2 linked regions of the Danio rerio genome follow. Each later gene encodes a partner of the first gene's protein in a complex. Links are inferred from orthologs where the notes say so. Each region holds a gene or a part of one and is shown in the gene's direction. Other genes may lie near its edges.

Region 1 (3,658 bases):
TTTTAATCAAGGCCTTAATCACAAAGCTACTTGTTTTGACGTGGAATTGTTTCACACAGACTCAAAGGGTTTATAGATTGCAGATTTTTGTATTCTTGCAGTACATCTGCACTCCTGAAACATTTAGTGAAATCATAATTTTGCCGTGTCGGACATCATGATACCAATCAGTGGCTCCATTGATCATCTGTTATTAATATTTTGGGAAAATCTTCACACACTTTATTTGTCTTGCATTTTATTCAGTTGTTTTATTTTTATTCTTTTAGAATACTAAAAAGTGCGCGACTTAGTTTGACTTTATGTCTTTTTCCCCCCCATAAAGACTAGCTCTTTCTACTAGTCCAGTACTAAATAATGCATCTCATGTTGACCTACTGCGCTAGTCATTTTGATCAAGGTAGAATTTAGATTGAAAAATTTAAATCTGTAATTGTAATCTGTGATTTGACACAACATATTTATCTGTTTGTAACAATGGTAACTTTTTTTTTCATGCCATAAATGGCAAGATTAATTTTAATTGTCATACTAAATTTTTTTTTGTAAATTTTTGTAAATTTTTTACATGGGTATATGTATACATTTGCTTGCATGCTGACTTTTAAGACACAACCTGTTAAATTATTGAGAACATTTCGAAGAATCGATATTGTGTGAATATAACCATTGTTGGTTGCATGGTGTTAATTTATAGATGAATGTATCATTTGTGGCTTATCAGCAGAAATAAATTCTTATTATTAAGCCCTGAAGTTATATTTGTCTGTTGTGAGATTTCTGGTTGTTTAACTCTGGCAGTGTTTGAGTATTAGTTTTTTCTGGAAAAAAAAAAGAATAAAAATACAAACTGAATCGTAACTGAAATACTACACTTGTTTTCCCTGTTGTTTTAAGCTGTTGTCATTGTCCGAGTGTAATAATTGACCTAGTTGTAGTTCATAATTGACACCCATCATACTTTTCTAGTTGCTTTACCTACTTTAATGCAGGTGGCTTTGAAAAAAGAAATTGTAGATTGGGGTGTCCAAACTTGGTCCTAGAGGGCTGGTGACCTGGAAAGTTTAATTCCAACCCTAATCAAACATACCTGGACCAGCTAATCAAGCTCCTACTAGACATACTAGAAACTTCCTGCCAGATGTGTTGAAGCAAGCTGGAGCTAAGCTCTGCAGAACATCGGCCCTCCAGGACTGAGTTTGGACACCCCTGCTCTAGATGCATCATGTAACTTTTTCCAAAGGCTTGCACTCCAAAAAGCAGCATTTCAACTAAAACAATACAAAACAATCAGCTAAGTAGTTTTGTCTATCATTTGCACACATAAAATGGATTAAATTGAATAAAGGTTGAGATGAAAATGAAATGCAGGGTTGTGTGAATGTCACATTGTTGACCTCAAAGTGTGTGGAGCCACTCAATTTCACTTCATACGAAAACGTGGTTTAATAATGTTGGTTTTCAAATGTGTCCACAGATCAAGGCTAAAAACTATGACAAGGTTGAAAAGGTAAGCATTTGTTGTCGTATGGCAGCCACGTGTTTAATTTATGGATCGTGTGAAATTGCTGTGACTTGTGACAGACTCATGAACCATAAAATCTGGGCTTTATCTAGGTCACCACTTTAGGTCCTCAGAGTAAACAAAGATGGTGTTAAGGGATTAAACGACGCCTGCTTCGCTAGAAACACCCTGTTTACTCTTCTCAGTCCATCAACGGTCAATATGATATTAAAATATGAGAGGGAAAAAAATATATTTCAGGATGGGGATACATCCGAGTTTGAGATCACAGTTCAAAGACAAAACATCGTTCTGGTTGTGTAGATCTAGGGTTCCCAAGTACTTTATTTTCAGACATGAATCCAAGGCCTGGAAAGTACTTAAAAACAAACATTGGTCCTCGAAAGTGCTTGAATTGAAAGTTTATCTTGTTTTTTTCAACAATTGTACTTTTAAACGGTTGCTTAAAATGGTCAATTGACATTCAAAACCTCATCTTTATGACATTTTAATGTAAATATTAAGTGTAGGTGAAATGTTAAGCTGGGAGGGATTTCCATTACGGTAAATATACTAGGGGTGTGAATTACAAAGGTGCTTGATTTTAAAATATTAGTGATTTTAAAAAGTCCTTATAAATCCTTGAATTTGGTGTCCATTAAAGGGTGGAAACCCTGTAGATTACATTTTTGTTTTTGTTCTTGGTAAAAGAAACCATTTTTCTTATATTTTTTTGCATTATCCTAAATTTATTATAAATGCCATGAGGATATATACTCTAATTATTCAGTATGTGCCATGATATTACAGTTTAATAATCATTGTAAATGCAAAATATTTTGATGCTTGATTATAATTCGTAATATCTTTATGTGAATTTAAATAGTCTAGTATTTGACTTTTTGTTTACCTCAGTCTGGAATCATTTCACAATGCAATTAAAACTAGCATTTATTAACCCTTGTGTACTGTTCAAATTTTCCACCCTTTCGTTATGTTTGGGGCTGTTTTTGCCCCATTTACTTTCATTATAATGACATTGTTTGATTCCAAAGTCATGACAGCATATAATCATGCAATCATGACAGTTGGTAGTTTATCATGTTGGGAAGATGTTGGGAAGACGTTGGGTAAAATTAGAACTTTTTACTGTTGATTATCTTGCAGTGCATAGTAAAGCTTCGTTTCTGCCATATAGATGGAGTATAGTGTGTATGTGTGAGAGCGAGCGAGATTTATCTTTATGTCTGACAAAGTCTAATTAAGCGGCTCAGCTGTCAGAACATGGTAAACATAATAAGTGTATTTTTGTGCACACTATAATCTGCTGTTATTCATATAAAAGCCGGAACGGTTTTTGCACAGGCCTATCTAAAAGGTTAATCTTGCCAACTGATTATCAACAGTAAAAATGACACATTTTTCCTCTTCCCAACGTGGTAAACCACCAACAATCTAGAATGCATGATTACATGGTGTCATGGCTTTGCAATCAAACAATGTCATTATAATGGAAGTCAATGGGGCAAAAAAAGCCCCAAACATAACGAAAGTGTAGTCAATTTGCCCAGAGTATTGAGTTTTGAAAAATTACCAAACATTTTCACAAAATATGTCTCAAAATAAGATTCAGAAATCATTTCATTTGCTAAAACACAGAACAAGCTCGAAAATCACCACAGAGTGGATGAAAACATCCCCAACAGCACACAAGGGTTAAAATGTGTTTCTGCAATTGTTTGTGCTGGGTTTTTGTCCTGTGGGAGTTTGTTCACTGTTCAATGTTTTGCTCAGTTATTTCAAAGGTGCTTGATGAAGGTCCTGCACATTGACCTGTGGAAGTGCTACCTCTCGTACGTCCGGGAAACCAAAGGAAAACTTCCCAGCTATAAGTAAGTCACACAAATGTGTTTCCAACACTTCACAGTTGTGGCAGACAGACTTCTTAATGTCAATGTCTAGAATAAAGTCATTTCATTTCACACTAATATACTTTGTGATTAACTTTATATTTATATAACTTTATATTAGAGGACTCAAAACCATATTTAAATCTAGGAAGCATGTTTATAGTGTTATGAGAATAGGAAGTATTTTAGATACTACCTTATTTCTAGTCAACGCTAATTAAAAAGTAATGCAAACTGTCAAAAC
Region 2 (3,758 bases), on another chromosome or scaffold:
GCTTAAACAGACGATTTGCTCTCTACCTTATTGGTGTTCAAATGGTAATAATTCATTCATTTTCCGTCAGCTTAGTCCCTTTATTTATTAGGGGTTGCCACAGCAGAATAGACCGCCAATTATTCCAGCATACGTTTTACTCAGCGGATTCCCTTCCAGCTGCCACGCAGTACTGGGAAACATCCATACACACTCATTTCCACACATACACACAATTTAGTTTATTTAATTTACCTATAGCGCATGTCTTTGGACTGTGAGGGAAACCGGAGAACCCAGAGGAAACCCACACCAACACTGAAAGAACATGCAAACACAAAAACGAAAATTGACCTCACTGTGAGGCGACAGTATTAACTACTGAGCCATCATGTCGCCCCAAATGGTAATAATAATAATTTATAATATTTTTTGATTATAAAAATGATGAGGAAAAGACAACATTCAATTTGTTTTACTTTTAAAGCTCATAATATTTGCCCAAGAATTTCATAAATAAGTACAATTTAAATAGTGAACAAATTTCAAAACTTACAAATATTATAAGTTGTTGATAAGAACAAGAATGTTTGCATTTTTAATGTATGTTTGAGGAAATAAAATAATAACAAAAAAAAATATATTACATTTTCCCTAAATATTTGAGCAAAATGATATATGTGGATAAGTAAGCATTTTATAAAAGGTTTTTGGGTTCGGGATATCCATCATGAACAGATAATTGGCTGTTTTTTTCCTCATTTTTGATCAAGGACAAATCAAATAGTAAAAGTCAATAAAAATTTACATCAAATCAGAAAAATACTATTTGATAATATTATAATATAGTGATATGTCATATAGTGATAAGTTCACGTTTTCTTTAATATTTGGGAATCAACTAATTGATGTATAAACAAGAACAATATGAAAAGTGTAAATGTTTGTCAAGAAATCTTGAAAATGTGTTTATTTTCACACAAGTTCTGTCTCCTTTGCCCTTAAATGATACAAAATGCCGTCACTAACGTGTGTCCGTTAATTCAAAGTATATCAACTTAATAATTGATAAGCATATCTGCAGATCAGGTAGGCTATATTAAAATGAAAATTTTATTCGCATTATGTTTTTATATTAATATATTGTCAGTTACAAAGAGAGCATTTACCAAAATTCAATGAAAACCTTTAGTCGAGCTTTTATTTTGACACATTTAGAGACTTTTAATTTAACGGGTTTACGTGTACGTCTTGACGTAAGACGCACAGAACGTGTGCGCACATCCCTTGAAGTGGTAAGTCGTCGATTTTGTGCAACTTTAAATGAATGATACTCACTTTGTATCGTATTTATTGCTCACTTCAAACCTTAATTCTTACTTAACGCAAAAGCAGACACTGGATACATTTTATACGTCGCATGTAATACAAGCTGTTTTATAACGTTAGCTATAAAGATTTAACGTACACAACAATGGCTGTGTTTTGAATCCATGTAACGTTACCTTAAGTTTCATACTTAAACAGCTTTTTAAAACCGCCACCAAGCGTGTTGTCTTGTTAGGCAGCTCGAAAACACAAAACTATCTGCTAACAAGGCGTTTTATCTTCCTCCTCTAAAGTGCAGGCATCAAGCAGTCAAGATGTTTCGACCCAAACCCACACTGAAGGACAGACAGCATCTGTACAAGCTGATCATCAGTCAACTGCTGTATGACGGATACACCAACATCGCCAACAGCCTCATCAGTGAAGTCAAGCCGCAGAATGTGGTTTCTCCATCAGAGCAGCTCATGCAGCTCGCCAAGATAGGTGAGACTCCAGCACGCACAAATAAACCTTCTCACACTTTTAGTCCATTGGGCTAAAGTTGGTGTTATATTCCCACATTTAGATTTTCTCATTAATAAATAGAATTTCAGACAAGTGTTCTTTGCAAATTCTTTTTTCAATACTTTATTTTTATATCTATTTTTTAAGGAAGAAAAAGAAAAATACAAATAATAAATAATGACAAACAAAAAATACAATAACATATCAGAACTTAAATGAATAGTTGACTGGTCACATATTTCCTTACATGAAAAGCATATAAACATACATATATAGATCAGTTTACAATGTGTAAAGGCGTGAGCACAATCAATTTCTCTCAATATTGCACAGGGTTCATACGGTCATGAAAAACCTGCAAAGTCATGAAATTTCGACAATGCACTTTCCAGGCTTGGAAAAGTTTTTGAAAAACCCACAAGGGTCTGTAAAAGTCATGGTCTCCCTGCAGAGTTTTGTTCCAACACTAGTCAAACAAACCTGAACAAACTAATCAGTGTCTTCAAGATCACTTGAACTCTATAGGGAGGTCTGTTTGAATAGGGTTGGAGCTAAACTGTGCAGGACACCGGCCCTCCAGGACCGAGATTGCCCACCCCTGAGCTAGACACACAGCTGAATGCTATTGGTTTACAGAGATGCTTGTGCACAAGCCAGGAGAATGAAAACAAAGGAACCACCATTTTTAAAAACACAGCCAAGACATTGCACCGTACTAATAAATACACATAATAACGAATCATGGTCAATCCAAGCTTAAACAAACCTTGTTGTCGTCTTGATGAACGGCCACAAAGCCAAGAAGAACAAAATCTGCCATGTCCTGTTGTTGTTTTTCGAGCCCGTCTAAAAGTGTGAGCGGTTTCAGTTTCTTCAGAGACCTCACCGCACGTCTATATTTGAAATAAAAAAACTTCTTGAGCTCTAATTAATAACATGCTCGTGGTTATTTAAGTGCTTCTGACTTTCAGAAACGGACAAAGTGAGAGTGAAACGAGAAAAAACAAAGGAGAAGCTGGAAAAAACGAGCAGCAAATTATTCTTTCTGCAACCTAAAACATGATAAAAGTTAAACATGGCAGTTTGTTCATCACCTTTCAAACTACTTCAGAGGTTACATGTGCTGGTGAAGATTAAAGATACAGATGAGAGGTTTGCACTGACTGGGCTATATGTTGTTTTTGAACCTAAATAAGGACTAAATGTATGCTATGTGTAGTTTTTCTGTAATCAGTAACATATCGGAGCCTGTAAGGGTCTGTATGTGTCGTATATGTGGCATTTTTTTATTTCATATAATTGCAGATATTACAGTAGGCCATTTCACCCTATCATTGATTTGCAGTTTTATTCAAAGCATCTATATAGAAAAGTTAGTAATGAACATTTATACACAAGTATTTATATGTTCTAACTTTGAGAAGTGCTTTTCATAAGATATGTGAACGATCCATACAGCTCTACTGTAGACATTTTTTCGAGTAAAAATGATGTTGTCTGAAACTTTGTCATGCACCATGTTCACCAAAAGGGTACCTATAGTACCCTTTTGGCAGTGGAAATGCAAGCCTGATAAAGGAGACCCGTACCGACCCTTACCATACTGTACCAGTCAGTAAAGACACGCGCCAAGGTGTAATAAGTTCTGTGAAGATCTTTAGCAGTAGCGGTAAGTTTGGGGGTTTGCAAGGTTTTTTATTTTATAGAAAAAAATAACACATACTGGTTTTCAGCAAAAATACATTAAATTCTTCAGATGCATTAATAAAAATGTACATAATTTAAAAGAAAAATCAAAAGAGCCACATTTATCATTGTTTAAAATTAAACGAATGTAAGTTTATTTTTGAAGATGAATATTTTATCAGAGTTGTAATAAAAGCACCATACATTTAATATTCAATTCAAGTTTATACATAGGCTTTTGACCATAATTATTCTTCCAA

What was found. The genes of interacting proteins can lie anywhere in the genome.
Region 2: the proteins of cstf3 (region 1) and cstf1 are in contact, whole or in part, in a crystal structure (PDB 6B3X), measured with the Homo sapiens proteins. The link is inferred for Danio rerio from reciprocal best matches to the Homo sapiens genes CSTF3 and CSTF1. Residues at the interface, in NP_001317.1 of Homo sapiens: Tyr581, Pro582, Lys583, Pro584, Asp585, Thr586, Gln588, Met589, Ile590, Pro591, Phe592, Pro594; in NP_001028693.1 of Homo sapiens: Arg118, Glu216, Ala217, His226, Pro227, Ser228, Asp230, Phe231, Thr240, Arg242, Leu243, Tyr244, Cys251, Phe252, Val253, Ser254, Cys255, Tyr270, Ser272, Ser273, Ala274, Asn275, Gly291, Val292, Ser293, Asn294.

What each region holds. Positions count from the first base shown.
Region 1 is NC_133193.1:48,719,453-48,723,110, reverse strand, and holds part of cstf3 (cleavage stimulation factor subunit 3), read left to right. Parts: intron 1-1,477; coding exon 1,478-1,510; intron 1,511-3,298; coding exon 3,299-3,396; intron 3,397-3,658. UniProt on the Homo sapiens protein: One of the multiple factors required for polyadenylation and 3'-end cleavage of mammalian pre-mRNAs.
Region 2 is NC_133186.1:29,932,501-29,936,258, reverse strand, and holds the start of cstf1 (cleavage stimulation factor subunit 1), read left to right. Parts: upstream 1-1,232; 5' UTR 1,233-1,474; intron 1,475-1,601; 5' UTR 1,602-1,622; coding exon 1,623-1,791; intron 1,792-3,758. UniProt on the Homo sapiens protein: One of the multiple factors required for polyadenylation and 3'-end cleavage of mammalian pre-mRNAs. May be responsible for the interaction of CSTF with other factors to form a stable complex on the pre-mRNA.